Linked DNA regions of Caenorhabditis elegans. The protein of the gene in region 1 purifies or fractionates together with the protein of each later gene. This does not show direct contact. Each region holds a gene or a part of one and is shown in the gene's direction. Other genes may lie near its edges. The genes, in order: nsph-3.2, M142.5, C45B2.6 and B0250.5.

What was found.
Region 2: the proteins of nsph-3.2 (region 1) and M142.5 fractionate together in Caenorhabditis elegans (co-fractionation; one large-scale study listed by BioGRID). This does not show direct contact.
Region 3: the proteins of nsph-3.2 (region 1) and C45B2.6 fractionate together in Caenorhabditis elegans (co-fractionation; one large-scale study listed by BioGRID). This does not show direct contact.
Region 4: the proteins of nsph-3.2 (region 1) and B0250.5 fractionate together in Caenorhabditis elegans (co-fractionation; one large-scale study listed by BioGRID). This does not show direct contact.

What each region holds. Positions count from the first base shown.
Region 1 is NC_003282.8:10,108,918-10,115,791, forward strand, and holds nsph-3.2 (Nematode Specific Peptide family), read left to right. Parts: upstream 1-3,952; 5' UTR 3,953-4,012; coding exon 4,013-4,280; intron 4,281-4,329; coding exon 4,330-4,811; intron 4,812-4,858; coding exon 4,859-5,224; 3' UTR 5,225-5,370; downstream 5,371-6,874. Other genes in the region: egl-38 (Paired box protein 5 homolog), read right to left, coding at 28-92, 271-421, 1,432-1,495; spch-1 (SPerm CHromatin enriched), read right to left, coding at 1,951-2,335, 2,385-2,593; C04G2.10 (Protein kinase domain-containing protein), read left to right, coding at 6,583-6,645.
Region 2 is NC_003281.10:10,928,451-10,935,131, forward strand, and holds M142.5 (AD domain-containing protein), read left to right. Parts: upstream 1-2,750; 5' UTR 2,751-2,758; coding exon 2,759-2,875; intron 2,876-2,924; coding exon 2,925-3,008; intron 3,009-3,066; coding exon 3,067-3,501; 3' UTR 3,502-4,311; downstream 4,312-6,681. Other genes in the region: Protein-lysine N-methyltransferase M142.8, read left to right, coding at 5,194-5,475, 6,009-6,272.
Region 3 is NC_003284.9:6,050,020-6,059,167, forward strand, and holds C45B2.6 (phospholipase A2), read left to right. Parts: upstream 1-3,038; 5' UTR 3,039-3,080; coding exon 3,081-3,197; intron 3,198-3,432; coding exon 3,433-3,549; intron 3,550-3,592; coding exon 3,593-3,822; intron 3,823-3,877; coding exon 3,878-4,052; intron 4,053-4,387; coding exon 4,388-4,499; intron 4,500-4,543; coding exon 4,544-4,634; intron 4,635-4,682; coding exon 4,683-4,779; intron 4,780-4,823; coding exon 4,824-4,908; intron 4,909-4,951; coding exon 4,952-5,221; intron 5,222-5,270; coding exon 5,271-5,527; intron 5,528-5,603; coding exon 5,604-5,857; intron 5,858-5,905; coding exon 5,906-6,176; intron 6,177-6,727; coding exon 6,728-6,883; intron 6,884-6,932; coding exon 6,933-6,989; 3' UTR 6,990-7,154; downstream 7,155-9,148. Other genes in the region: gln-1 (glutamine synthetase), read left to right, coding at 8,263-8,302, 8,349-8,489, 8,537-8,698, 8,825-9,099.
Region 4 is NC_003283.11:20,490,430-20,499,332, forward strand, and holds B0250.5 (putative 3-hydroxyisobutyrate dehydrogenase, mitochondrial), read left to right. Parts: upstream 1-3,494; 5' UTR 3,495-3,501; coding exon 3,502-3,624; intron 3,625-3,676; coding exon 3,677-3,801; intron 3,802-3,907; coding exon 3,908-4,038; intron 4,039-4,711; coding exon 4,712-4,916; intron 4,917-5,881; coding exon 5,882-5,999; intron 6,000-6,544; coding exon 6,545-6,742; 3' UTR 6,743-6,916; downstream 6,917-8,903. Other genes in the region: srbc-79 (Serpentine Receptor, class BC (Class B-like)), read right to left, coding at 342-560, 1,424-2,056; dct-16 (DAF-16/FOXO Controlled, germline Tumor affecting), read right to left, coding at 7,554-7,813, 8,567-8,579.

The sequences.
Region 1 (6,874 bases):
ACAGTAATCCCTTTCCCCTATTTTTACCTGGTCTGACAGATCCTGTTGAATAATATCTACCGAGGATTTTCGAAACACATCCATGGGAGACTCTGTAAAATAAAAAAATTATATAAAAATATTTTGGAAAGTAGAAATTCCACCACAGTTATAGGAAAAGAAACAGGAAGAAAACTTTAGAAAATCCAGAAATTTTTGTGTAAAATTTCAAAGTTCCAAATTGCGATTACAAAATTAATTTGTATTCCTTATTCCAAACACCAAACTTACTTTAACTGTCTTGATATGTCACATGGTCGTGTACCATGTTGTGACATTTCGACTATTTGAGCACGAACTGTGTCAGCAAGAGGACGCCCGTTGACAAATACACCGCCCAATTGATTGACGCCCGTGTGGGAGCCATCTGACAGTAGGGGATCTAAAAAGTTTAATTTTGTGAACTGTTTGTGTTTCTTCAAAGATGGCTAATGGGGTTATCAAAGTACATTTTCCGTGGGAAAAAACGTGAAAAGTACGAAAATGAGAAACTTTTGAGGCGGAAGAATATAAAAAGTTACACATATTTTGGAAGGATATTAGTTGATCATATGTAGTATATAGTCATTAGTGAAGAATGTAGGTCAAAGTATATACTTTCTGTTTTTTTTGCTTGTGATAAATGCATTCTAGGCAAGAAAACGTTTTTTTTTTTCAAATTTTAGTCCAAAAACAGCTGAAAGCACTGTGGAGTCGAGTCGATTGGAGATTTTTCTTTAAGATTTTGTTTTTGATCAAATATGGACCGTATTGACAAAAAATATAACTGTACAAAATTCTAACTTTACATGTTTTTTTTGAATTACAAAATCGAAAGGGAAACTTTGAAAGAAATTGAATAACCTAGTTTCTGCATTTTCAGTCTAAACTCTTTGATATTTGATTTGAAACACCGTCTTTCGATTTTTCAAACATTTTTCCAAATAAATTCTCGGAAATTTCAAAAATGGTCTTTTATCTTTAATTTTTATTTATGAAAATGTCTGAAAATTGAGAGACTGTGTTAAAAAAAATTTATTAAATAAACATAAACAATAAAGCCAGAAAAGGCGAAAGTGTCGAATGTAGGATATTCATTTGCGCGGGAATTCAAACATAATTTGACTCTTTCGAACATTATGCAAAATTGAAAAACACATAATAAATTTTAAATAATTTTTAAAATATTATCAGTTATAATTTGTATAATAAAGCTCTATTCTGTCATTCAAAGCAAAATTTCAAGATGGTCATATTCCACCTTTAAAATTAGACTGAATACTTTTTATTTGTTAATAGTAAGAGATGTTGCCTTTCGTAACTACTTTACAATTGTTTAAGGGATATGCTTTAATTTTCTTTTAGCAACTTGAAACTTTCATTTTTAATGGAGATTTAAAAAAAGAGACCTACCAAATTGAAAATTGTGATGTCCTGGGTAGGTTGGGTAAGGATAATTTCTCCAAATAGGTTCCATAATTTTTCAACGAAAGGACCTTTTCACGAGGCAATCAACCGTTTGGACGCCCTCGGATGCACACATACACCACAGTCAAATAGGCTCCACCCACTAGCCTCCAACACTTTTACTATATTCTTCAGGGCACCTGTGGATTAGGAAGAGAAGGAAATATGGGCGGAGCTTTTGAAAGAGACCGCCCATCAATTGAAAACGATTGGATAGAGAAGTCAGCGGTTCTCGGAATACGGGGAAAAGGGTTAAGGTTCAGGATTTAGTTGAGGTAAGGAATCGGTGGTAAAAACTATTTGTTTTCAAAATGTCAACTGAAATCAACTGAAACTGAAATCAATTCTAGATTTTTAGTCAAATCCTGCTTTTTGCAATGAAGCTCATTTTAAACAACAAACAAAACACATCACACAATATCACACAATTTATTTCATAAGCTATTCAGTTCCATTTCAATCCGTTCAGCCTTTGCGGCTCATCGAGCGTTTGACCTTCTGTTGGCTTCTGCTGCGACTACGTCTCTTGGCAGGAGTCTTCTTTGCAGTCGAAGCACGACGTCCACGAGCCTTCAAGGATGAGCGGCGACGAGAGCGGCGACGAGAGCTTCTGCGAGACCCGGAACGGGAGCGTGAATAAGAGCGACTTCTGGAGCGGCTTCTGGAGCGGCTTCTGGAGCGAGAACGCTTCGACGAGCGAGAGCGTCCTGTGCGTCCATACACCGATCCACGAGAAGACGAACGGCGGCTCACGGATCCACGGGATGCGCTTCTCACAACCGATCGACGAGACGAACGGCTGGTTGATGAACGACGACGACGTGGTGATGGAGAGATCACAACAACCAAGCTGAAAAGGAAAAATATTTGCGATGAAAAGATAATATATTTCTGCTTACCTTGGCGATTTGGCAGTGTGCGTTGAGACCGAACGGACTGAGATTCTGCGACTCGCTGGTCTCCCAACACTACGGCTTCGACGAGCACGAGATGCGCTTCTGGAGCGGGAGCGGCTCACGACGGTCCTCTTGGTCTTGGCAAGAGGAGTGAAGCGTCCTTTTGAGTCACGAGGACGAAGTTTGTTCTTCTGACTCTTCGACTTCGGCATTTGCGGATGATTTTTGATGGTCTATTTAGTAGACGAGACGAGTGTTATACTGATTTTAACAGAAAATCTCAGACTTTTATACCAAACAATTTTTGATGACCTTTTGAGATAAGAGATTAACCACGTAAAAAAAATATATTACACGCATTGAAGTTTTGTCTTTGTGTCTTTTTGTCTCTTTTTCTTATTTGTTTCATTTTTCTCGCAAAAATTGCTATGGTTGTCGAAGGACCGGATGATCGAGAGTCTATTCGACTTTTGATTGGACAGATTCGGGATCTTTACAAAGAAATTGTGCATATGAGAAATGAAGATTGAGAGCAATATAAGCTAATGAATGGACGGTTGGAAGCAATGGATAGGGATAGATCTTTCCGTACCAAGAAGCGTCGCAAGATCAATAAGGATAAGGATAAACCAAAATTGGACAAAGAAAAGAAATCAGCTGCCCAAAAAATTGTTTCCACATCAAATATGACGAACACTCTCAAGGCTACGGATGAGAACAAGGTGGCTGAAAAAGAAGAATAATGAACTTGTTGTAAAAATTTCTAATTGTTTATGTGGGCAATAAATGAGTATTTGAGTTTTGAGTTGTTCCAAAAATAAAAAATATTCATGTTATGTTTCGATAATGTTTCTTCAAAATTTAAGTTTATTTTAATTGTTAGAATTAACTTTGATAATGAGAATAATAAAATTAAAAGCCAACCTGTTTTTTTTGCTGGCCTGGAAGGGCCTAATAACAATATGGAGCAGGATTGGATGTATTCGATATATGTACATTTGAAAAGATTAATTAATGATGATCACCAGGCGCACGAATCGAGCAAAAGATCAGATTTTCAAGCATCAAGCTTCAAGAAACCCGTGTTCGTTCAAGCTTTTCAAACTTTAAAGCAGTTAAAAAAACATGCTTCGACAAACTATTAAATTCAGAAAAAATAAAAAATAATAAACATATTGTTTTAACATACGGTGTTTGTGTTAGCGGCGTTACCGGCGGCAAAGGCCCCACTCTCTAATTGAAGCTCTAATTTTTAGAAACCCGAGGTTCCAGAAAAAACTGAAAATCGGAAATTTGAGCAGTTTTTTCCAAAATTGCTTTTCTTGCTTTCAGGGGTTTTCTTGCTTTCATCGATGACTCTTCAAATTTGTTCTTTTTAATAAATATTTAAAAGTTTAAATTAAAAAAGAAACACGTAAAGAAATCATCCCAATATGAAAAACAATCCGTTAACCGCTTTAAAAATAAGGAATAAAAATTTTAGAATAATTAATTAATTTCTTCGTGACAACATAGCCATTGGTCAATTGGCAAGAAATTTCGTATAAAGCTTGACGAAAACTGACTAAATCAATCAGTTGTTACTCATTCCAACACAACGGACTGCTGCGACAAGTGCCTTTGAAAAACCAATGCCGAATCCGCCACCGAAAGAAGATACTTGGGCATTCCAGCCAATCGGAGCCCCCTTCCCGCCGAGCCCGGTAAAATGTATGGGTGAGCAGAATATGTACGTGGCTCTGTGGTACAAGCACGGAAAGCCAATCCATGGACGTTCGTGGAATAACGGAGGAGTTGTCGAGTGCTCTTTCCCGTACAAGGAGGCTGAACTGACCACCAAGCAGCAGCTTGAGGGTCAGATTCAGGTTCTTCAGTACCTTGGAGATCACAACAACCAAGGTTAGTTTCTTTTACAGGAGTAACCCAAAAATATGTTTCCATTATTCAGGTTTCTGGTACGAATGGATCAAGTACAAGGATCGTATTGAGAAGATTGACGATAAACATCAACTTGTGCGTTGTGGTGATTCATTCCCAATCTTCTGGAAACGTGCTGAAGGAAACCTCCTCGGATATGTGGACAACAAGACTGAGGAAGCATGGTTCTCGTTCAATGGGAAGGTGATTAAGCAGCTCGGGCCACAGCTCAACGAGATGTACATCATCACGCGCAACTGCATCGGAGGACCACCACATTGCCCATGTGCTGTGTGCGGAGCTGCTCCACCACCACCAAAGCCAGTGCCACGTGTCGAGAGAGACGAATGGATGGACATTCGTGAGGGAGATCCATGGCCGACTCGCCAACTTGTCAAGGCTCTTGACAAGACTCTGGACACCCTTCCAGGAGTCAATCCAGACCAATATGTTGCTCTCTGGTACATGCAAGGTGAACCTGTTATGGGTCGTGTCTGGAATGAAGGAGGAAAGGTAAGGAAGTTCATTTTTAGACGAAACGATTCATTTTGCACTTGCAGGTGGCTGCCAACTTCTCGTGGTTCAACAACGAGTATTGCAAGAATGTTGGATCTATCCAGCTTCTCATCTATCTTCCGGACAGTGTTCGTGGTTTTGACTATGGATGGATCCCATTCCCGGAGGCTGCTCAGTTTGGAGACAAAGCTTGGCATCCAGTTCATGTCAACAACCACAAGGGAGATATCTCCGTTGGAGTTGTTAACGTTGCTGGAGGAAAGCAGATTCTTGCCAAGGTGGATGTCCGTAACGAGAAGTATGGTTATGGATACCAAGGAAAGGAGCATTCTGCAACTGCCAAGAACTGCGCTGATAACACCATTGTTCTCTGCCGTAAGGCCAAGGCTGGATACAAGCTCGACGGATAAGTACACACCATATCAATCAACTACGGATGATACCTTTTTCATCAATATTGATTAATAAATTTGTATTGTCCGCCACATCTCCTCGCCAAAAAATCAACTCCTTCGCTGTAGAATTGAAATGAAAAAAATATAAAATTCCAATACATTTCATAGTCTTATTTTAAAATTTCAACTAATATCGAAGACGCATTCAAGCTTATTTTTTCTTCAAATCTTTATTTTTCATGGAGCTCTTTTTCTTGTTGGTAGTGGTCGTCGGTTTTTCCTATCCTTGTTGTCTCTTCGTAATATCTTTAATAATCTTCTATAACATCACGTCTAACGATAACATAATTTCCAACTTTTCAAATGCTCCCATTTTTAAAGTATGATGCAGCACACTCTGTAGAAATCATAAAATTTATTCACAGCATTCAAGTGCCAAAACGCCGCCTGCTACAAGGAGCTAACTATCATTTCTGTAGTGTTTTTGACGAAAAAAGGTATACAACTTTGAATTTTTGTATTTGATTCAATATGAATACAACAGCTAAGTTTGAAATGCACACGATAAAGTCAGTTGGGAAGTAGCTAAAAATATACGTATTTTTGAGAAAAAAAAATCGATCAGCGGATATTTCGGTTAATGTCCGTCCACCCTTGCTTCCAACCTCGCCCATCTCGGTTGGATCGGACCCATCGCAGATCCAGGCGTACTTTGTTCATTTGAATCGGAATCTGCCGCTCGTTTGGCAATGGGTGCAAATTTGATTATTTTGCTCGTCCTCTTCCGGTGATGTCCTGTTCGCTTGCCTCGATGACGACTGTGAACCAGATGTTCACAGCTCCAAAAGTAGTGAATATAGTCCCGTATGAGCCCGCAGCCGGCCCGCCGGCCACGCGGGTCTTTGAAGTAGCACCGAGACCGTAAGTCGTCGATGCACCATATATAAAACGGTTTCGGCCGGCTGGGGCTTTACATTCATTTATTGGTAGAATACGTAGGAAAAATAATTAATACAATATTGGAGATTGTATATATAGGTATGAAAAGTAGGCGGAGCCAAAATGCTGTGGTGACAGAGATAAGAGAGTTTAGATGGGGACAGAAAAAGGTGGGAGGAAAGTCGGTGTACATCAGAGGATGATTGTGTTTGACTCAGACGTTATTAACAATTGAAACAATCAATCAAATATAAATCAATTTTTATTCATTATTAAATTCCTTAGATTTTGCTTGATTGAGGTATGAATCATGCAATGATTTCATACACGTCACCTGTTTGTATGCTTTTGCTCGAAGTAACTGCGCTGTCTACTCGGAGTTGCTATGCTCCGGTTTGTCTGAGTTCCCGTTAAAACTTTTGGCGGGAATTCAAATGTCTCCGATTTTTTCTCTTAAAATCTTCCAAAATTTTCTGTTTGAGACTAAGAAAAAAAAAGTAAGTCTAAGAAAATATGAGAAACTTCGTAAAGCTTTGGAGAAAAAAATCGTTTTGTTTCGTGAAACTTTTTGAGCTCAGATCCAGAAACCTATATCCAGAAACTTTTGAAAATATATGAACAGCAGAAACAAACACGAAATTTTTGGAAAAATTTAAATATTTCAAAGAAATTCTAGAAAAGAGAGAAATCACCAAAAATTCTAGAAACTACGAAAAAATTCTACTT
Region 2 (6,681 bases), on another chromosome or scaffold:
CATGAAAATTTCCGGCGAACGGCAAATCGGCAGTTTGTCGGAATTGGAAATATTCGGCAAGTTGGCAAACCGGCAGAGTGCCAAATTCCAAATTGCCGCCCATCCAGGTAGAATATACTCATACCCCATAAGATCCAATAGGATCTATTTGGTTCATATATCTAAATACTATAGGACCCATACCCCACCAACCACCCCCATAACTATTTTTCCTCAGAGATGCTGTGCGGAGAATTCCAACGATCGTCCAACAATGGCGGAAATCGCACAAATCTTGCAACGCGTCACTGGTCAGCCGCGTCCAAACTTTTTGGCAATCGCCAAGAAGGAAGCTGAAGAGGTATACTAGTACCTATTAAACTGTTTGGTAATTATTTTTTTCAGCTTCTCCTCATGAATTCCGGAATTACAAAGACTACTGTACGGCGTAAGAAGTCCGCGGTTCCAAAGGGATTGTGAACTTTTGAATTGAATCGAGAATAAACTATTTCTTTCAATATCATCTATTAATGCACTCGATAGCCAAGAAATCATTTTGGTGGCCTAGGAGACCTTGAAGTTACTTTTACTTTACTTAGGCCACAGATTCTCGAAAAGTCCTGAAAATCTCTGACGTGGTTTTGAATATCTCATGGTGGTGGGAAAGTGATTTAATTGTGACTTGAGTTTTGTTTAGGTGGCCTAGAAACCCAAATTTTACTAATAAATCTTCCATTTCATAAGATATTTTCCCATATCAAAATTGCCATAATTCAGTGGTGAATGTCATGGAAAAAGATATCAGAGAACTGAAAATTTATCGCTGTTTTTTTGGAAATATCGGAAGACGATGAAATAAAAGAGCAATTGACAGATGGTCGCTGCTGCCGGGCTCCCCAAGTTATCGAGATTTATCTAAATTTTTTGCAGAATTTTTTTAGGAAAGTGATGGTGGAGGGGAGAGTTTTTAGAAATTACATGAAAGTTGCCGAAGATTATAAATTCGTACACTTGTATACAGGCAATTTGAATTTCCCGCTAAAAATGTTCTCAAAAATATGAACTTCAGTCAAAAAAATTGCTGAAAATAGGAGCGTGTTTCAGCGCGCAATACGCAATTCAGGTGCACCTAAAACTGTTTTTCAAAATTGGAGAAAAACTTAGAAATACATTTAAAAAATTACAGTCAACACAATATTCTGGCATTTCGAAAAAAAAAGCTGCCAAATTTTCCAAATTCACAGGCAGGCAGGCAGGCGTGTTAACGCTTACATGGAAGCCCTACAAAAACAATGAATTTTCTTTGCGACTATAGTATACTGTAATTAATTAAATGCTCTTCTCTTAAAAAAACGAACTATAAGTAAGCTAAACTCTAATTGCTTTTAGTTATAAAACACTCCTTATTTCTCAATTTATGACTGAGACTCTCTCCTTCTTCTCCAATTTGAGGTACAAGACAAAATTGATGATGGCTCATAAAGTGTATGTATACTACTTCGATATGCTCCACCGATCTCCTCCTCATTTCATGATTAGTGTCTGTGTGTCTGTGTCCTTGGACACCATTTAGAGCAGCAGTAGGAGCAGCAGATGATGATAGATGACTACGCGGGAAACAACAGGCGTCTTAACTCTCAAGTACTGTGATTTGCATAAAAGTTCGCCGGGCAGCAGCAATGAATTATGTGTTGTGCGGGGGCAGAGGGTTTATGAAATTTATAAAACACATATGCTACATGTTGAGGGGGTTTTGCCACGTGGCAGGGCGGGAAACCAAGAAATTTGAACTTCTTCGACAAAAAATCTCCTCTTGAATCAAACCTGTTTTTTAATGCGAAAAAAAAACGAAAAAAAACCAGTCTTATTACAGGAACACGAAATTCTGAGAATGCGTATTGCACAAAATATCTCGTAGCGAAAACTACAGTAATTTCTTTAAATGACTACTGTAGAGCTTGTGTCGAATTACGGGCTCGATTTTTGAATAGTGACTTTAGAATTGTTTTCTCTTTTTTTTTGATTGATTTTATTATTTCATCTACATATAAATAAATTCTATTAATTCATTTCGAAAATGGAGACCTTAAATCGAAACTACAGTAGTCTTTAAATAATTACTGTAGTTTTTGCTGCGAGATATTTTGCGCGTCAAATGTTGCGCAATAATACGCATTCTCAGAATTTTGTGTTCCCGTAATAAGTATTTGAGTAAAATTAAATGAACATAAAATTTAAGAGCATGACATTTCATGAAAAAGGGTTTTTTTCACGAAAACTAATGGGGAAAACATTTTCAGAGTGAAACAAGCATAATTGATTGACTCCGAGCTCGGATCCGAGGTTATTGCATTTGCATTTCACACTTTTTCGATGGAAAATATTTTTTTTTCGAATATTGATGCAGATTTCCAGATTTTCGCTGAAAATTCATTTTCCATTTCGGTTTCAGGTCACTTTTTGCACGCGGTTCTTGAATTTTAACTCATTTTTCCACGAGAATTTCATTTTTTAAACAATAATCATTGATTTCTTGAACTTTTGCCGCGCGGCCAGCATCGCTTCGTATCGTGTAATTCCCCTCAAAAATCACGACAAACAAATGTTCAGTGTGGGTTCGCAACGGAGCGCACATGCTGACACCTCCCTTTTTCGTCTTTTTCCATCGGCGCCGCAGCATTTATCGACCCGTTTTTGTGCAGTTTCTTGTTTTTAATGCATTTTTTGTTTCAAAATTTTGAAAATAATTATTTTAAAACAATATAGTTGTCTTTGCAGCATGGCTTCGTGTAATCTGACAGCGTCAAACGTTGCGATCGGCGCCTGCGTCGAAATCGAGACGACGAATGGCTTGAGCGCCCGGGGAGTGGTAATTTCGTTCGACACGACTCGCAAGGTAAGAGAATTATCGATTTATTGAATTATTTATTAACCAAAAGCCAAAGTTTCAGGTTTTGGTTCTCGACACCAAGGAAATGGCGATTAACAAGCCAATGATTCGCATTTTCAACTCGGAGCACTTGAAAAATGTGAGTTTTTTCTGGCAAAAATCGGTACTTTGATATTAATAATTAATATTAATTTCAGATAAAAGTGTTAAGTGAAGCTCTCGAGGAAAGCGAGAAATTCGCGCGCGCCAAAACCGAGCAATTCGCCCAGAACAATCCGGTAAACGGTACACGGACCACCGAACGGCTCGACAAAACTCTCGGCGAGCTCACACCGAATCTAATGAAATCACCAGCAATATCGATTCGTGGACAACAAGCCTATCTGCAATTGAAGCGCACAATTCCGGATACATGTTGGTGTGGCGAGGATATCCGTGTGCTCGGGCTCGTGTTGGTTCACAAGCCCTACGAGGTGTCCGACGTGACAAAAGATGCAAAAGCGACAGGATTCGATGAATCGCGTGCCGAAAGTGCCGTACTTCAAGTTCAGAAAATTCTCTCAAAACCAATGACCGAGTATACGGCACGTGCTCCGCTTGATTTCACTATTGGAGCTATTGTGGCCAACTAGTTATCGATTTTTTCCCATTTTTGTATATTTTTTGTCCTAAGGCTGATGGGTTTAAAGAAAAGAGTGGGGAAAATCAAGAAAATCTCTATTTAAACCCATAAAAAGTAACATTTCGAGAATTTAAACTCGAAAATTAATTAATTCTGTGAAAATCGACAAAATTCCGTTTTGAATCGATTTTATTCAGGATTTTTTTAAAATTTAATCTTCAAACTTGAATTAACTGAATTTGAAGCCGATTTAAAAAAAAATCTCGAATTCTTCTATTGAAAATTTCAACGATTTTTAATAATTAAAATTCAAAAAAAAAATCTGATTAAAAAAAAACTTCGTGAAAATCTATTTAATTCTGAAAAATTCGATATTTTTCTTCATTTTTTCTGTGATTCCCGATAATTTCCAATCGTCTTCGAGAAAATGTAATTTTAATCGATTTAATCGACTTAAAAAATTTTCAAAACAAGAAAAAAATCAAGAAAACGTCGTTTTTCAACAAATTAGGTCGAAAATGTTGTATTTTCTCCGTTTTTAATTCAAAAAAAAAATCGATTTTCTTGCTATTTCCCCCTAAAAATCGATTTTTCGAATAAAAATTCATCAGCCGCGGGTCTCGTTTTTCAGGTATCTCTGTCCCTTTCAATATATATATATATATTTTCTCTTCCAAATCAACCAATTCTTCATTGCATTTGAACCTTTTCTCAGCATTTTTCTCCTTTTTTTTTTTTAGTTTTTTTAAATTTGAAATTGCCCCCCGTCCTCAATTATTTATTAAATTCCGCCCTAAAATATAATATATATTTAATTTTTTTCGTAGTTTTTTCTGTTTTTTCTGTGAAAGAATGGGTTAAATTACCATTTTATATCTTTTTTAAATCATTATTTTCTAAAATTGCTCGTTAAAAATTCTGAAATGGCAGTTTGAAAGCATTAAAAATCGATTTTTAAGCTAATTTTCGATTTCTGTGAATTTTTATTTCAAAAAAATCTGAATTTACGAATTTTTGAGCTATTTTTCACATTTTTGCATTCGAAAAAACACGAAAAATTGCCCAAATATTACAGGAATTCCAAAAAAAAAATTAAATAAAGAAATACCGGTTATTTGCTAAATTTAAATTTATTTTTAAAAATAAAAATTGATTTTTTTAAAGAAAAACTGGTTTAGAGAATCTGGTTTAGAGAGCTTTTTCAATAAAAAAATTATTATAAATTTTTTCAACAAAAAAAATTAATTTTAAAGCCGATTTGTTTGAAATTTCAATTTAAAAAAGTGATTTTTAAGCTATTTTTAACATTTTTGCAATCAAAATATCCTAAAAATCGCTGATTTTCACTAAAATACGGAAATGTTCTGCATTTCAGCAGAATTTTCCTTAAATTCCGAGTAAAAGTTGAAAATTTGTGGTTTTTCATATTTTTTCTAATGCAAAAATGTGGAAAATAGCTCAAAAATTCGTAAATTCACATTTTTTTAAACAAAAATTCACAAAAATTAGCTTAAAAATCGATTTTTCATGTTTTCTAAACAAAAACTAAATTTACGATAAAACTGATATTTCAGAATTTTTAAAGAGCTATTTTAGAACAATAAATACAAAATTTCAACTGAATTTTCCTAAAATTCAGTTGAAATTTGGTTGAAAATCTGTGATTTTTCAATTCTCAAAAACTTTCAGCTCGAGTTCTGAAATGTCAGACACTGATGATATTCCACAACTGTCCGCCGACACCCTGGCGGCTCTTTCCATGTTTCAAGCTGAGCAACAGGAGAAAATCGAGCAACTTCAGTCGGGAATCATCGAGAAAATCGATGAAGACTGGCAGTTGAGCCAGTTTTGGTACGATGATGAGACATCGCGGAAACTTGTCGCTGAAGGTGTCGCCGCAGCGTTGGAAGGATCCGAAGCAAGGCCTGCAAGGATCGGATGTGTCTCTTCGCCCACACTCGTCAAGTTTTTCCATGAAACTGAGGTGCATCAGATGAAATTTTGATAGAAAATATGGGTTTTATTGGAAAATTGAAATGAAAATTGCATTTTTTAAATCTTAAAATTTAGATTTCGCTGGCTTTTTGGAATTTTCGAATTTTCAGCCAATTTTTCCTTTAAAAGTCATTCAAAAATTGCAATAAAACCATTTAAAAACTTATTTTTCTTTTTTTTTCAGAAAAAAAACTAGAAAAAAATCTATACTTTGAGCCAATTTTCGGTTTGTAAATAGTAAAGAAAATCCAGTAAAATCTCCTTCAATACCTCAAAAATTGATTTAAAAAATCTTGAATAACATGAAAAACTAGCTCAAAATACACATAAATAGGTTTAAAATCGTTGTTTTCGGCTCAAAAATGCACAAAAATTACTAGAAATTGACATTTCTGCAAAAATTCACATAAAATATTGCAAAATTTGAAAAAAAAAGTTTTATGTCAAAATCAACTTGAAATACACTTTTATAACGAAAAATTAACATTTTTACATGTAAAAAGTCAATTTTCGAATTTTCAGGAATACAAAACCGGTCAAATTCAACTGACACTTTTCGAGTTCGACGACCGTTTCGGCTTGAAATTTCCAACGGAATTCGTCCACTACGACTACAAACATCCGACAGATCTTCCAGCTGAACTTCTCGCAAAATTCGATGTAATTATAGCTGATCCACCGTTTTTGGCAGCCGAATGTCTCATCAAAACGGCCCATTCAATTCGATTACTCGGAAAATCTGATGTGAAGGTTTTGCTGTGTACTGGAGCTATTATGGAGGACTATGTTAGTGCGAATTTGAGGAAAAATGCACAAAATGATTTTTCAAAAATGTCTCAAAAATCTGATAAATTCCCACATTTTCAGAAAATTTCCGATTGCAAAAATGTAGAAAAAAAGCTCTAAAATGACTTTTTTGAAATAAAAATTCACAAAAATTAGCCTTTAACTGATTTTTTCGAAAATTGGCTTTAAAATCGTAACAATTTTTCAAAAAACTCAATTTAAAGTTAGCAAATAACTGGTATTTTAGCATTTTTCACACCTTTTCGAATACAAAAATAATTTTAGGTCTTCTTTTTTTCCCAAAAAAACGCATTATAGAAGAGAGAAAATATGAAAAATGGCGGGTCTAATGTCCTTCTGATCGAAACTGAGCGACTGGAACCGTTGAATTTATTAAAAAAAGATAATT
Region 3 (9,148 bases), on another chromosome or scaffold:
AAAATCTAGGTATCTAAGATTTTATTACACTGTCGATAAGAAATCCAATCTCATTTTGCACAATGTAGAAAAAAAACAGTTCGAAACCTGGACTGTTTGCTAGAAATGGAGAATGGCACTGTGTTTGTTGAACGCGCGCCATTTTCTAGTGTTATCAATTGAATGGAGGAAACAGAGAAAGATAACTAGTACGGTGGGTCGCGGATGATGCGGCCAAGGCAATTGATAAAGAGCTGCGGAGGGGCAAAACGGACGGATGAGGGGAGGATGTCGTTGGAGATAAAATCAATCGATAGCGGTCAAATGAAGAAGAACACACACAACCAGACATACGCACACACACATATACACGACAGGAAGGGGTGAAGAGGGAGTAAGAGATGTGAGTAAGAGAGATAGAACAACTTGGACAACCACCTAACATCTCGACCTCTCGACACTTATCATTTGGAGCTTCCTGAAATCTCAGTGAGCAGCAAAACTATTAGTGGGTGTTTCCCTGAATTTTTGAACTGTAGACATCGCTCAATTAGTATGTTTAATTGCAGTACAGACTCATGACGAGACGGTGCAAATAAAAAAAGATGAAGAACCTTGTCAATACAAGATGCAACGGTTTTCCGAGTTTGAGCTATTGGAATACACTTTTTGTATGCCGACAACCAAATGAACGGAAATCCAGTTCTTGATTTTTGTTTGACAAATGTCTTGATTTGTTGCCGAGTGAAACGAAAAAATGAAATGAGCGTTGAGACCCACGCGGAGAAAATTTTTATGGAGGCAGAGTTAAAAGGGCTTTGATGTTTTGATTAACCTAATTAAAAGCATATATCATCAACCTGAGGACAACGAGGCAAGAATCGAATTGCGGGGGACAAGATGAGGAGATCCTATCACCGTGTCATCTCAATCCTCGGCTGCGATGGTTTCACTTTCCACCGGTGTGGCCACAGGGGGAAAACCTTCCTGTGCGTATGTATGTGTTATTATCATCGCCTATATCATCAAGCACACATACACATATAATACACACATACACGCTCAATTCATTGAAATGTAGCGAGAATGCGAAAACTAGTTCGATGTCGTTTCAAATTCGGATCAATCTGATATCAATTATTGTTTTCTACTTGATGCCGCCGGTAGGCTTTGACACTAACGAGATAAAGGAATGTCCCCCGGAATTTTAAAGACTTTTTTCTCTTTGACAAACAGATTGACAAGGTCGGAATGTGTGTTCAAAGTTGGAGAATGTAACATAAAAAGTGCGCAATTGAAGATAAGTTGAAATAGACAGTAAATTAGTGAGTTCGAATCTTACCAACTTGTACCTATTGCAGAAGCATGTAGATTGTTTTCGTTCAATTATCACCACTTCTTGAGTACTTAGGCTGTTTATGCCAAAGTTTTCTGTATATTTCAGTACATTCTCAGTACATAGCTAATCGATAGTTATCCAAATTTAGTATTCTATCAACTGAACTGAAAAATATTTACCAAAACATGCAGAATTAGCTTCAAAAAAGGGGACTAATGTAAAACTTTTAGACATTTTTTTGAAAAATTCCTCATAAATTGGGTTTTAAGGCCATTTTGAGTCTATCGAGGGGAACAATTTCTACTTTTTCAAAAAATAAAACTTAAAAAAGCCGCCAAAGTAGAGAAATGGGGGGGGGGGGGGGGGGAGGTGCATGTCTGAAAGGGAAAATATGGTAATACTTAATAAACAAAGTTTACATGATGCGTCGACAAAAATGTTTCTAGGGATAAAAAAGTCGAATATCTAAAACCAACTCTATGAATAGGTTATGTAAACATTCGACGATCGACGGTGCAGGCCTCTGCAACTTACGCCATCTTGGTTCGTGGCAAAGGTCAAATGTAGGATTGGTAGATTTAGCTAGGCTGTCTCACACGCACTCCCGTTTGTAGTCTCTTTCTCTCTCTTGTATCATCGCCGGCACCATCTAGCAACGGGACCACGTTTATGAGACAAGAGTGTGTGAGTAATGAGTGTTTTGGAGCATACTTTCAAAGATTACACACATTCCTTTGATAAAGTGGATGAAGGAAAGGAACGGATATATTCCGAAAATAAGTAACAGATTTTTAACCAATTAATCTTGTTAGGTTTGAAATATTATATTATTTTCAACTTTTATAACTTTGTCTTTCATTTGTTATCTATCAAAGTGGTAAAAAGAAAAAGGATGGCACAAAGGATATTTGGCAATTGAACAAAAACGGAAACACTAGGAGACATGCATTCGAAATTACGTTCCGAAAGGTCACAAGTTGACGTTTAATGAGAGTTCTAAAACCATAAAAAGAGGACAATCTTCTGATCGCAAAAACGGACTCTTTGCCCAGTTTTAAAATGGTTCCAAATAAGCAATTGAATTGAAAACAAACCAACAACAGTTTTAGATCAAAGTTCATGGGGATGAACTGAGGGGGAAAAGTGCACGGATTGAGTTAATGGACGATCGAGCGAATCTATCGGAAACCGGATTTGTTCGAGATGCTGGTAACTTTTCTATCATTTAAGTGGGGGCTTTTAAATGGATTGCATCGAATTGGGTGGGAAACTTTTGGGTATTAGTCAATAGTTTTTTATTGTAAGTTTTGCTGCAAAATACAACAGTAAAACTTGAAAGTCATTTCTATTTAGAAAAAAAAACAAATCGAAAAAAGTAACAGCTGTACAAATCGATAAGAACACATGCACTGTCTGGGCAAAGGGTGAGGGCGGGAAAACAATGTCCGCAGAGAACGCATTAATTATTCACAAATAGTTTAAAAGAAAAAAAAACGAATTCTTACTAGAAATTCAACACGTTTTTTGTATTGTTTAGAGAAAAACCAAAAGGAAACGGAAACCTCTCATCTGAAGTGGTATAGTGCACTCAAGTCCGCAAAAGTGTACATGCGGACCTGACACCACATTTGACGACACCTATGCTAATTGTTGTTGTTATATTCCATTTCCAGTTTGTTCCATGTTTCACATCATATTTCTATGAACACAGTTATTTCAGATGGATTTTTTCATGAAACTTGCCAAAAGTGACGTCGGCCAGATGGCGATGAACACAGTCCGACAAAACGTGGAGGATAAAATCAAAGAATACGCGGATGCTCAACATAAAGCAGCTGGTTCAACGTCTCAAGCCAGCAATCCACAGGCACAATCGATGGTGAGTTTTGAACATTTTGAGTTTATGAAAAATTGAAAAAAAAACTTGAGCATGCACTTTCTAAAAATAAATTTAAAAAATATTTTTTCTATAGTTTTTTATAAATTTTTGTTTAAAAAACTACCACACAACGATGAGGAAAACGATGTTTTTTTAATGTGTCAAAAATGTGCTCCCAGATTATGGTTTTTTAAATTATTAAAAACCTTTACCTATTTATTTGCACAATTTTCAGTGGCCGGGACCTGTGGATAAAACCTTGAAATTTTCTATCAACTCAAAGCTTTCTACGAACTTTTCACAAGCTACATATGGTGATGGATATGCACTTGTCTACACACCAAACAACTATGTAAGCTGAAATAACATTAAAAATACACGTAGAAACTTTCCAGGTTGTTTATTTCAATAAGAATGCATCTTACATTGACGATCTGGAATATTTGTGGAAAGAATTTGACGAATCCATCACACATCTGAACAATCCTATCAACGTCATTAATGATTTGGTACCGGTTATGCTGAGAGAAAAGGAATTACAATCCGAGTGCTCAGCAGTATATTTTGCGATTTTTTCTGGATTTTCAAATTATGTTAAGGAGGAGAAAAAGAAAGAAGGAGATGGGTAGGTTACTGTCAAATCAAGTTTTATTGAGTTAACAAAAACTGAACCGTTTCAGCTTCTCAATGTCAAAACTAAATAGAAGAGGTGATACTCCCGTTCATGTTGCCGCTCGATTTGCATCTCTTAGTTTACTTCAAATGGTCTGGGACAAATATTTCGATCCATTGACAATGAATCATAATGGTCAGACAATTTTGCAAGTTGCACGTCATCGTCCAGAAATTGTAAAGGTGAATATTTATTAAAATAAAAGATACGAGGTGGAAAAATGTGTCTTGGGGGGATTTTGCTGAAAATTACAAAACAAATGCCTTAATAGACATTAATAGGCGTTATATCAATAAATGAAAACTATAGAAATTGGTTAAGTCTGACGAAAAAAGCTTGCATATGGGTGGGACTCACTGAAAAATTAAAATCCGTACAGATGAAAACTGTGCTCCGGATCATTTTGCTGGATGATTTTTGCAGCTTCAATTTGTATACAAGTTTTTCCGATTCTATATTTTGAAAAAAAAAATGCTTCAATGTAAGAACAAATTTGGAAAACAATATATTTTTGCAGTACATCAACAGTCATGTTACCGGAGAAGTATGCGACAAAATGATCATAACCGCAGAAACTCATCCCAAGCCCGAAACTCCCGATTACCCGCGATCTTTTGAGAAAATTCTAGGTGAATACCAAAAATTACAACATTTTCTTTATCAACATATTCAGAATACTCAATCAAAAATAACTTGCCACATTGCTTATTGTCACCGGCAGATGTTCTCAACAAATCATCATTTTCACTGAGAGATCTTGAATCGTAAGTTGCCACATTGATTGTATCTATCTTATTAGTACCGTTTTTCAGAGTGCTGAGAATTCTCTACGTGCAAGACTCGGACTTTTTGGGGAGACTTTTGAACTCGAAGAATGTGTTTCACACATTTGACAATTTCGTGAAAGATGTTTGTTGAAATGACTATATTGTTTTTATTAATCAAATTTCCAGCACCAAAAGTTGATGCTCAGTTTTGCCAAAGCTGAAATGATAAACGCTCAAGATTTGAACGGACTCACACCAATGCATTATATAGGTAAACTGAACTACATTTAAATGGCAACTCGTAACTTTTTCAGCAAAAAATGGAAACCTAAGCACAATCATACTTCTTTGGTCGCACGGCGCGAATGTTAATATGCTTGATAACAAAGGAATGTCTCCAATGGATTATGCTCTTGAAAGAGATGACGTCGATATTGTAAAAGCATTTCTGGCGTTTGATGGACATTCCACCGACCGAATTTTGAAAGCTGCACTAAATTCCAGACGTAAATGTGCAGAAGTTCTGCAAAAACACTTCAAAGCACTTGAAGAAGGAAAAGAGAAAAATATTAAATACAATCTGGGTAACTTTGATATGTTTCTATTCGCTTTATAACATTCTGCGTCTTTCAGAAAACCCTTCTCATCGTCGTTGCCAAAACTTCCCGCCATTGACCAAGAAAGATTCAGTCATTTTGTCTATTGACGGAGGTGGTATGAAAGGAATTCTGGCTCTTCAGCTTTTGAAGGAGATCGAAAAGGTTGTTGGAAATAAATTCTTGCGCTGGTTCAATCATATCGGTGGAACATCAACTGGATCAATGATCACTCTTGGATTGGTCAAGTACGGAAATATTGACCATGTCATCAGACAATATTTCAGAATGAAAGTAGGAAAATGAACATTGAGAAAAGCGATTATGATATGGAAGATCAGGTGCTAGTTGCAATATCTTATTTTTTCAGGATGATATTTTCATTGGATCCAGACCATACTCTGGCGAAGGTCTGGAAAATGCTCTTCTAAATGAATTTGGAAGAGATACGCTCCAGCAACTCGGTGAGAAGAATGGTATTCGCATCAGTATCCCGGTTGCTCGAGTCGATATCAGCCCTCCGCTACTCTACATGTTCCGCAGTTATAACATCAGAGACCCGTCATTTGATCAAGCTGGCATGAAGCCTGTCTGGGCAGCTGCAAAAGTTGTTAGGGCTTCTTCGTGAGTCACAGCTGGACAGAAATGCACTTTTTGATTCGTATTTTTCAGAGCGGCGCCATCATTCTTCCCACCTGTTGATGGAAAGTTTATGGACGGAGGACTAATCGCTAATAATCCAGCTGTTGACATTCTTACTGATTGTCAACGCCTGGAATATGAGAGAAACGAGCGTAATGTGTCAAAGATCATGGTTTCAATTGGAACTGGGTCGATGCAAAAGAAAATTGAGAATGTTGACTTGATGAAGCCAACAACAATGGGTGGAATTGTGAACACGTTCAACCAGATTCTTCACTTAAAAGACGTCTTTATTGAGCAGGTGAGTTGCAAGCAATTCTTTTCAGATAAAAATGGCCAATAAAGTTTGAAGTTTTGCGCAGATCAATAAGTCTGTCAATGTAATTCAATCAAAGTTGTCAAAAAGTTTGTGTGCTCACTATTAGGCAACTCAATAGCAGAAAAGCCCAACTACGTTAATTTTAATCACCGGTGCCTTTCATAATTAGCAACGAACGTGAATGTTTCTTGAAAACATCTCAATTTATTCTCATATTGAAAACGCATCCTGAAAAGAGTTTTGACTTATTAGTTTGAACCAAAAATGGTTGTTTCAAATTCTAGTTTGAAGTGTGATTTCGGTGCTAAAATAGTTACATGGACTAATTTGACAAGTTTTCTTCGTAAATCTAAAGCTTCGTTCAAAACATGAGTGTATATGACTTACACTCGATAAACCGGAACTGTTATTTCTTAATTTTTTGTTAATTTTGTTTTCTATTTCCAATATTTTTTCTTTCTAGAATGGATTAACAACCTTTTCGGGGAAAACATCTAATTATATTGTCACCTTTCATTTTTCCACACTTTCAGCTCACAGCAGCTGATGGAGTAACCGTCGAACGGGCTCGTTGGATGGCTGAAGCCATGGGAATGGCTTTCTTCCGTTTCACTCCAAACCTTGAATTCCCAGTTGCTATTGACGAGAAGGATGATAGTGCGTTGCTGGATGCAATGCTCGCTGTCAAGGTAACCTAATGGATGACAATTTGATTCATTATGTATTGACTTTTTGCAGTATGAAGCTGTCGCAATGCGAAATGAGATGTACATGCTTTCTTCGATTCTCAAATAATTTGAGCCCTCTCGCAGATATTCAATAATCTATTAGTTTTGCTTTTCTCATATGTGAGAATACACATAAGTTCATAATTTTGTATACATTCTAAGTCTCAGTTGTGAAAAATCATTCCGTCATAATACATAGAAGTCTATTTGAACCGAGTAAATATTTTTTCAAGCTTTGTCGTATTTCCATTTTTGTTTATCTTCTCTGTCTTTTACTAGAGGTAAAAATCCATCAAGAAGTATTTTCGTTCAGTGCCACTCAGCTTTTTTTTATAATAATGTTTTTCTCTCAACCAAAGAATCAGTGAAGAGAATTTGCTCCTTTGATCTTATACAAAGAAAAAATAGCATCTGTCATATACATACGTATCTAGTCTGCACTTTTTTTCGTTCAATAAAACCAACTTTGCCGTTTTCCTTATTGTTGCCCAGACTACCAAGTACATGTGCGCAGCAGCGGCAGCCACACTTTTCCGATTAGTAGGTTTAATTTGATCAGTCTGATTTTTTGAATCAGAATGATAAAACGAAATTACTTTATCAGAATATCAATAAAGAATGTGTAAACTTCCGTTTTACAACTTACTATCACACGTATCATAGCTCCACAGCCACTCCACTTGTGACTTTCGGACGAATAATGTTTTCATTTTTCAAACATTTGAAGTTGTATTCTTTTGGTCTCTGATTTCTTGACTGTATGGCAACGATTCCCACCACCACCTCCCATTCTTTGATTGTTATCTGCGGTCTCTCGTTCTCTCTCTCTCTCTCTGTCGAGTACATTGCGTTTTTCACAAACCGCATGAGGTAACAAATTGGGCAAAGGGCAGGTACTTACACCAATATGGTCGTGAGCCGATCTCTGAGTTTCTTATGCTCCTTTTGTAACCACCATCCATCTGAATGGCGTTTGTGTAAACTTATATGAAGTGAACCGTCATTTGCTGAGTTGGTTCTCTGCGTCTTTTTTCTTCTAACCCCCCGCATGACTGTCTGCATCAATATGCTGACACACTCTCTCTTCCTCATCCTTCCTTTGACATATACACTCTCCGAAAAACCGAACCCGTCGTTAGTTGGTGTTTCATTCCATTTTAGTTTTACTTTCTAGTTTAAGGTTTTAAAGTTTTACTTTTCTTTCAATCTGTGTGTCCCAAACTTTTCTATTTATTAAATGTTTCATTTCAATTTATTTTAACTTCGAAATTGAATTAAAAGTTCCCAATTTTCTCAATTTCTTTAATTTTCAGAAACATCTTTTTCGCTAGCTCTCAAACATGTCGTACGGTAGATCAAACAAAAGGGCCCGAACGAACAGTAAGTTTGATCATATAAAACCCAATGAATAGTTGCTCTTTTTCAGATATTTCGGAGCTCAATGCTAAGTACATGGCTCTAGACCAATACAACAACTATCAGGTAATGTACATTTGGATTGATGCAACCCAGGAAAATATGCGAGGAAAGACCAAGACATTTGACTTCGAGCCGAAAACTCCATCTGGTAAGCTTATAATTAGAATTTTGGAAAGTAATTTTGTATATCAACAGATCTCCCAATCTGGAATTTCGATGGAACTTCGACCGGTCAATCACTTGGCGAAGGCTCTGATGTGTACATCCGACCAATCGCATTATACCGTGATCCGTTTAGACCGGGGCCAAACAAAATCGCCCTTTGTGAAACACTAACACACGACAATAAACCTCATCGTGAGTTTTTTTTAATTTTTGAATTGAAAGGATCAGTGTAGTTTGAATCTTTGAATAAAATATGAGAATAAAGAAAATACATTTCCTAGTTTTGTCTGAAATTTCACAAAACATGTTATTTTCCAGCAACAAACACGCGTCAGCAATGCGTGGACAACATGGAGAAGGCAAAAGATCAAGAGCCATGGTTTGGAATGGAGCAAGAGTTCACACTGCTCGGCGCAGATAAGCATCCGTACAACTGGCCTGTCAACGGATTTCCCGCACCACAGGGCCCATACTATTGTGGAGTTGGGTCGGATCGAGTTTTCGGTCGGCACATTCTTGAAGCACACTACAGAGCCTGCATGTACGCGGGAATCAAAATTAGTGGATCTAATGTGGAGAGTATGCCATCACAGGTATGTAGTTTTCATTAAATTATTATTCGAAATTCTCATTCGACTATGA
Region 4 (8,903 bases), on another chromosome or scaffold:
TTCTTCAATTAGTATGGTTGCAATAATATAGTCTTCCAGCTTTTCCGCTTGCTATTAGAGAGTGCAATACTAATTTTCAGAAAATTTTTCTGTGTCGGGGCTCAATAGTTTTTAACTGAAAGAATTCCAATTTTATTTGGAAATATAGAAAATCTGATTATAATTGCAAAAAAAAAGTTCAACAACTTCAATCTCATAAAAACAATTTGTCAACAATCGTTGCAAAATAGGCAAACAATTTTGTTAAAATCATAAAATTACTGAGGCGCTTTTCTATACTAATAGAAGAAAATACAGCAATTCCAAGTAGAGCTACAAAGTTCAACAAAAAGAGTAAAAGGTTACGAGACTACTGTAGCCTCATTGACAGAGTCAATTTTCAAATTAAATAAAAATCGATAGGTTATCAATCCTTCAACCAAAAATCCAAATGTCTTGATAAGAACAATAAACAATCCCAATATCTCCAAATTAACACCAGTAATATGACTAGAGATGTACAAAGGAATGATATTGAAGAATAGCATTATGAAAAAGTCGAGAAGAGCTATGCGGGTGGCCTGAAACAGTTTTATAATTGTAAAAAATAATAATGGTAATGTACGAATATATCTAGCTGTAAAAATGACGAAAAAGTTTTTAATGAACCACTAAAATTTCAAAAAAATTGTCAAAAAAAAATTCAAAAATTTGAAAACTTCAAAAAATTTGAAAAAAATTAAACAATTTTGATAGCTTATAACAATTCGGAGAAAAAACCATAAAACTTTCAGAAATTCAAAAAAAATCGAGATTTTTAAATTCCGAAAATTTGATATTTTGATGTAGTTGCCGCTCGCCAAATCGGAAAGTTGCCAATTTCCCGGAAATTTTCAATTCCGGCAATTTGTCGATTTGCCGGAAATTTTCAATTCCGGCAAATTGCCGATTTGCCGGAAATTTCAATTCCGGCAATTTGCCGATTTGCCGGAAATTTCGCTTTCGGCAATTTGCCGGTTTGCTGATCTGCCGGTAATTTTCAATTCCGGCAAATTTCCGATTCGCCGGTTTTCCGAAAATTTTCAATTCCGGCAAAGTGCCATTTTACCGAATTGCGGATATTTTCAATTCCGGCAATTTGTCGATTTGCCGGTAATTTTCAATTTCGGCAAATTACCAACTTGTAGTAACTTTAAATTCCGGCAATTTGCCGATTTTCAGGAAATTTCCAGTTCCAGCAATTTGCCGAATTGCCTGTAATTTTCAATTTCGGCAATTTGCTGGTTTTCCGGAAGGAATTTCTCAATTCCGGCAAATTACCAACTTACAGTAATTTTAAATTCCGGCAATTTGCCGATTTGCCGGAAATTTCAATTCCGGCAATTCGCCGATTTGCCAGAAAAAATCGTTTTCCGGCGACCCCTGCACTGTACATAAAACTCACTCTCGAAATATCCTTATTCGTTTCAGTTCCCGAGAAATAACTCCAAAAAGTAAGCCGAAGAAATAAAACGACCGAGAAAGCTCCATTCAAAAAGCAAACTATTTGTTGATGTGAAAACCAGTAGCGGTAGTAACAACTGTTAACAGCACAAAAGTAATTTACACACTCTAGTGGTGTTTCAAGAACATTTCCACAATATCCAAAAAGCATGTACTGATTGAAAAGTTCACTGGATAGGATTATGAGTAAAAATACAAAATTCGGAAGTTTTTGTCGATAAATGTGGAAGAAAATTGGAAAATATATGGCAATAACTCTTTCGAGGGCTATTAAAAATGTTAGTACTGATCTTATATTCCCAATTGATGCAGCTGGAAATACAAGTAAAAAGTATAAGTTTTTGATGATAAAGTCATTAGAAATCCTTGTAAGCATATAATATATTTTGAGAATCAACAGAACTATAGTATAAACCAAGTCCACACCGAATCTGCAGTAAGTCAGCATCATATGCAAATTTACAGGGATTCTTTTGCGCCAGAATATTGAGATCAAAAGAAGAAAGTTGAGGTAGCAGATGGTAATGGCGAATAAAATCGATATGAGAGTAGTTAAAACGGCGATGAGGAGCATTCTTGGAGAAACTAATCAAGTGAAAGAAAATAGTCAGAATATATGGGTATTCTAATTGAACCCGTCTGGTATTGTCAGGCGGAAATTTCTCCGGAAATACGTACTTCTGATCGCTGTCAATGACAACACGCACGTGGTGTCATAGTGTTATTTCTCATTTCAGCTTGATCTACGTAGATCTACAAAAAATGCGGGATAAGCGACGCAGACTTCTCAACTGATTTCGCATGGTTAAGAACGTGCTGAGGTCACCATTTTTCTTGAAAAAAAAATTCCCGCCTTTTTTGTAGATCAACCCGTAATGGGACAGCCTGGCAAAACGTGAACACGAAATTCTGGCCTTTCTCATTACATTTTTCGCGCTCCATTGACAATCGCCTGCCGGAGACATGGGAAAGTCGTGTACTCCACTCGGACAAATATATTTAGTTTTGCAATTAAAACCGAGACGCAACGCGCCGTAAATCTACCCCAGCCGTGGTTGAGTCAAAATGGCCTAGTTCGGCCAACTCTTACATTTCAAAATACGTGCAAATTGTCGTAAAGTCTGGTGTTTTCAGTTACGGTAGCTCGGTGTCCACGTACGAGGCACCAGATTTCACGAAAAAATGCACAGAAACTCTCGCTTTTGGTTACTGTAGGCTGAGGTTAGCGTTACAAATTTTACGACAATGCACACAAAAACCCTAAAACACAGGATTTAGAGAATATTTTACGCGAAAAATCTGAAAAATTCACCGGAAATACTCTGAAACTTCAGGATAAATATTTTTCAGCTAATCCAAGACGAAAATGGCAATTTTTAAATTGCATTTGGCAATTTTTCAATAGATTTTCTTTTTTTTCCAATTGTAATGCCAATTATTATCAATTAATTCAGTTTGAAACTCTTGAAATCAAAAACCCAAACATCTTAGATCACACAACCACACTGCCACTGGTGCAATCTGCACTCTTCTCTCCTATCTGTCAATTTCGCCGTTTTTTCTTGTGTTTTTTCTTCTTTTATGAAGTTCCACGTGCCTTTTTAAAAATTGAAAAAATTGAAATTTGACCGATACCGCCCGTTTTTCTGCTCGATTTCGAGATTTTTTCTAACTTATTTTCAGATTTCCTTGTATTATGCACTGTTTGTAAAGTTCAATATGTCATTTTACGAGAAATTTTGTGAAAAACTCGATTTTCTAATTTATTTTCTTTGAAATTTAGATTTTCCGCCTGAAAATCGCTTTTTTCATAATTTTCCGCAATTTGTCGTAACGAAGTCCGCAAACACTGTTGTCCACGTGTAGAACTTGTGGACAAACGCACATTTATTTTACTTTAGTTTTTATTCGCTTTTATTAATTTTCATGCGAATTTCTTGATTCTTACTCAGTTTTTTCACTTAAAGATCATTTTTCGCAATATTTTCTCTCTAAAACTCAACTAATTTCAGCAAAATCATGTCTCTCACCGGGTTCATCGGTCTCGGCAACATGGGCGGCCATATGGCCCGGAATTTGATCAAAAACGGGAAGAAACTCATCGTCTACGATGTTAATAAGGCAGTAGTGCAGGAGTTTAAGGTAAGATTAACAATAAATTTGAGAAAACTCGTTTAAAAATCGATTTTTTCAGGCAGAAGGCTGTGAAGTCGCCGCTCACCCTGCTGATATCGCCGCCGCTTCGAAAGAAATCATCACAGTGCTTCCGAGCTCTCCACACGTGAAAGCCGTCTATCAAGGCGAAGCTGGAATTTTTAAGTACGAAAAATCCTGAAAATTTTGGGAAAAAAATAAAAAATAAAATTTTTTCTCAAAAAAAAAAAATTTTTTTAATTTTTAAAATTTTCTAGTTTTTAAATTCCAGAACCATCCAGCCTGGAACACTGTGCATGGATTCCTCCACAATCGATCAAATTGTGTCACTGGAAGTTGCTCAGGCCGCCGCTTTGCTCAAAGCCGAGTATATCGACGCCCCAATCTCCGGTGGAGTCACTGGTACGGGAATTCGGAGACGGAAAATTGCGAAAACCAGTTGAAATTCGAAAAATAATAATGTTTTTAACGTGATTTTCGTGAAAATTCAGTTGAAAACTTGAATTTTAGCCTAAAAACTCAAAAATTTGGCCGAAATTTTTTTTTTTTGAAAAACAAAAATCGAAATCTCAGTAAAAAATTTCAGAAAACTTGAGTTTTAGCTCAAAAAATCACATTTTTCCCTAAAACTGTCGAAATTTTAGCTTAAAATCTCAAACTTTTCACTAAAAACTTCAAATTTTCACTGAAAAATTCAAATTTTCACTAAAAATCTGAAATTTCCACTGAAAATCTCAAATTTTCACTGAAAATCTCAGATTTTCACTAAAAATCTCAAAATTTCACTATAAATCTCAAAATTTCACTAAAAACTTCCAATTTTCACTAAAAACTTCAAATTTTCACAGAAAAATTCAAGTTTTCACTGAAAATCTCAAAATTTCACTGAAAAATTCAAATTTTCACTAAAAATCTAAAATTTTCACAAAAAATCTCAAATTTCCGCTATAAATCTCAAATTTTCACTAAAAAGTTCAAATTTTCACTAAAAATCTCATAATTCCTCTGAAAATCTCAAATTTTCACTAAAAATTCCAAAATTTCACTAAAAAACTCAATTTTCATAATTTTCCAGGCGCCCAGCAAGCTACACTAACATTTATGGTTGGAGCCGGAAACGATGCAACTTTCAAGCGTGCCGAAGCGGTTTTAAGCCTTATGGGCAAAAATATCGTGAATTTGGGAGCCGTCGGCAACGGAACAGCCGCCAAAATCTGCAATAATATGCTTTTGGGAATCCAGATGGTCGCTGTCGCGGAGACTATGAATTTAGGCATCTCGTATGTGGAAAATCTGAAAATTTAGAAAAAATTGAGTAGAAATAGCTGAAAATCTGAAATTTCTCTTGAAAATATGTTTTTTTTTCGAAATTTGATAATTTTGATATTTTTTAAATGGCAAGATACTTTATAAATTTAGTATTGTCCAGAAAACTTCTGAAAATTATAAAAATTCGAAAAACGCCGAAAATACGGAAATGGTGAACGATTTTGGAAAATGCAAAAAAAATTGAAGCAAAAATTGCTGAAAATTCAATTTTTTGCCGAAAGTTCAAACCATTTCAAAAATTGAAAAAAAAAACGTTTCCAGGCAATTTTTCAAGTTTTCTGATTAAAATTAATATTTTTCATTACTTTTTTTTCCGGCAAATGGGCAAATCGCCAAATTGCCGGAATTGAAAATTTCCGGCAAATCGGCAAATTGCCAGAATTAACAATTTCCGGCAAATCGGCACATTGCCGGAATTGAATTTTCCGGCAAATCGCCAAATTGCCGGAATTGAATATTTCCGGCATATCGGAAAATTGCCGGAATTGAAAATTTCCGGCAAATCGGCTAATTGTCGGAATTGAATTTTCCGGCAAATCGGCAAATCGCCAAATTGCCGGAATTGAATTTTCCGGTAAATCGGCAAACCGGCAAATTGCCGAATTTGCAAAATTTTCGGCAAATTTTAGTTTTGATCAGTTTATTTTTTGAAAATTTCAGAAAAAAATTCCCTCTAAAAATTTCCGGCAAACCCGCAAATGGCCGGAATTGAAAATTTCCGGCAAACCGGCAATTTGCCAATTTGCCCAATTTGTTGACGAAACAATGCCGCCCACCAAAATTCTAAAAAAACAGTTTCGTCAAAAATAATTTTGAAAAACATTTTTTTTCCCACATCAGCAAAGTAAAACGACCAGCGCAAAAAATTGAAATTAAATATATTTTTCTAAAAAATTCAACAAAATTTTTTTTACAGAATGGGTCTCGACGCGAAAGCGCTTGCCGGAATCGTGAATACATCGTCAGGAAGGTGTTGGTCGTCGGACACGTACAATCCAGTACCCGGAGTCATTGAAAACATCCCTTCGTGCAGGGTATGGATGGAAAATTGACTGAAAATCCGTAAAAATGCAAAAAAAAAATCTCAAAATTTGATTCTGTCCTCAAAAAATTCATTTAAAAAATTAAATTTCGCCATTTTTTGAATTTTTAGCTTAAATTTATAACTTTCCAATTTTTTGATGATTTTAATAGGAATTTTGATTTAAAAATAATTCAAAAAAGTTGAAATTTTCAAAAAAAAAATCGAATATCTGGAACATTTTTGCAAATCGGCATCTTGCCGGTTTGTCGAGTTGCCGGAAACGTTCAATTCCTTCAATTTGCCGATTTGCCGGAAATTTTCAATTTCGGCAACTTGCCGGTTTGCCGATTTGCCGGAAATTTTTAATTCCGGCAACTTGCCGTTTCGCCGATTTGCCGGAAATTTTCATTTTCGGCAAATTGCCGGTTTGCCGGTGTGCCGGAAATTTTCAATTCCGGCAATGTGCCAATTCGCCGATTTGCCAGAAATTTCATTCAAAAATTTCAATGAAAGTCTCCTAAATTCCGCCGATCAACCTAAAATTTCCAATTTCAGGGTTATGCTGGCGGCTTCGGAACGACTCTAATGGCAAAAGACCTTTCATTGGCTCAAAATGCTTCAACAAATACTCAAGCACCAACTCCAATGGGCTCACTGGCTCATCAAATCTACCGTATTCTGGCTCGTGATCCACAGTACCAGGCAAAGGATTTCGGTGTCGTCTATCAGTTTTTGAAGAAACAAAACTCATAATTTTCGGTTTTTTCTGAAATTTTTAAAGCATATTTTATGTGATTTGAAGCCCCGTATTTTCAGGATTTTTCCAATTTTTAAGCATATTTTATGTGATTTTTCCGCCTTTTTTCTATGTGCCAAATTGTGTTTTTTATGTAGAAAAAAATAGAAATTTATGAATTTTTTGTTTAAATTCGAAAAACTGTCTGGGAAAAAATCGAATCGAAAAAATTCGAAAAAAAATTTAAAATTTTCAGGGTTTTAATCGAAAAATTAATCTTAAAAAATCAATTTTTGTCACAAAAATTTATCGAAAAAAAAGCTGATTTTATAAGAAAAAATAGAGATTTTTAAAAAATTTACAAGAATATATTTTCCATGAAAAATCACTTGGAAAGACCATTACAAGTTCAAAATTACAAAAAAATTATTTATTACAAGCTCATAATTGAATTAAATTTGCGTGGTTCGATCTACTTCGATCTTCGAAAAATGCGGGAATTGAGATGCAGATTTCTCAATTGACTTCGCATGGATAAAAGCGTGCACTTTTTGGGCAAAAAAATCCCGCATTTTTTGTAGATCAAACCGTAATGGGACAGCCACCATGTATGTACATTACTTTTCAAGTAGGTCAAGTAGGTTCGGGCAGTTTCCGAAATTTTAAAGGAACTTTTTCATTAGAAATACGTGGTGTCATTACTGTTTGATCTACAGAAAATGCGGGAATTTTTTTCCCAAAAGTATGTGACCATTACAAGTTTAAAATTACAAAAATTATTTTATTACAAGCTCATAATAGAATAAAATTTCAAAACAAAAAGAAAATCTATTGCTTCTTGGCGGCCTCGATAAGCTCGGCCTTCTTCTTCTCAATAATGACAGCGTAGATCTTCTGATCGGCTTCCGATTGTCCCTTAATATACTCATTGGTCTCTCCGATCATTTTTGTGATAATTGCCAAAGAAGTGGCAGCATCACGTTCTGGCTCATCGTCCTTCTTCTTGTAAGTGGCGGCGATTTTGAGAATTCCCTCGATGGATTCTGGCGAGAGACCGGCGGCTGTCATCTCCTCCTTGGCTTTTGCGACTGAAATTTTTTTTACATATTAGTAGGGTATTAGGAGACCTACAAAAAATCCGAAAATTTTCAATTTTTGGATTTTTATTAGGTAATTTGCGTGGTTTGATCTACTTAGATCTTCGAAAATGGCGGGAATTGAGATGCAGACTTCTTAACTGATTTTGCATGGTTAAGAACGTGCTGACGTCACATTTGTTTGGGTTAAAAAATCCCGCATTTTTTGTAGATCAAACCGTAATGGGACAGCCTGACACCACGTGTGTGCTGTACTTTTCAAGTTGGTTGTATGTTCGGGTAGTTTCCGATATTTTTAATAAACTTTTTTTATTGGAAGCGTGTGGTGTCAGACTGCCCATTACTGTTTGATCTACAGAAAATGCGGGAATTTTTTTCCAAAAATATGTGACGTGTCAGCATGTTCTTAACCATGTAAAATCAGTTGAGAAGTCTGCGTCTAAATTCCCGCTTTTTTTGTAGATCTCACCAAAATGGGACAGCCTGACATCTAAAAATGTAAAAAATTAAATCATTTTTTGGTGTTGTATCCTATAATATCTGGAATATGAGGTTATTGTACAATTACATGTAAAAAATCAAAACAATAACTTGCTAAAGAATTACATACTTTTTTCTGCCGAAAAATCAACAAAAATTGAAAATTTCAATTTTTCGCCATTTTCGGTCTTATTGTTAAATTTTTTTCAAATTGAACAAAAAACATGAATTCTTGAAAAAATAAGCATACATCCAAAAACTCACGTTTCTCGGCCATTTTTAGTGTTGATTCAGCAGCAGCAGCAGTGAAAATTGATGCCTATGCCGAAATGTGGCACCCCGCTTGGCATTTTATACCGAGAAAAAATGTTTGTGACCGCATGCACTTTGCTCTTCCAGCGCGTGTTTGCATGCTTACGTGTTCCGAACGAAGACCGTTTTTGCAGTTGTTGCTCCGCGAGCAACTAATTTAATGATGTGTCAAGAACACTATGTAGATAAGGAATTTTAGTGATATGACGGCTCGCGAAGATTTTAACGTGGAAACTTGCTGGAATCCATGTGGCAAATAGAGATTAATGTCTGATATTTTCCAGAAAAA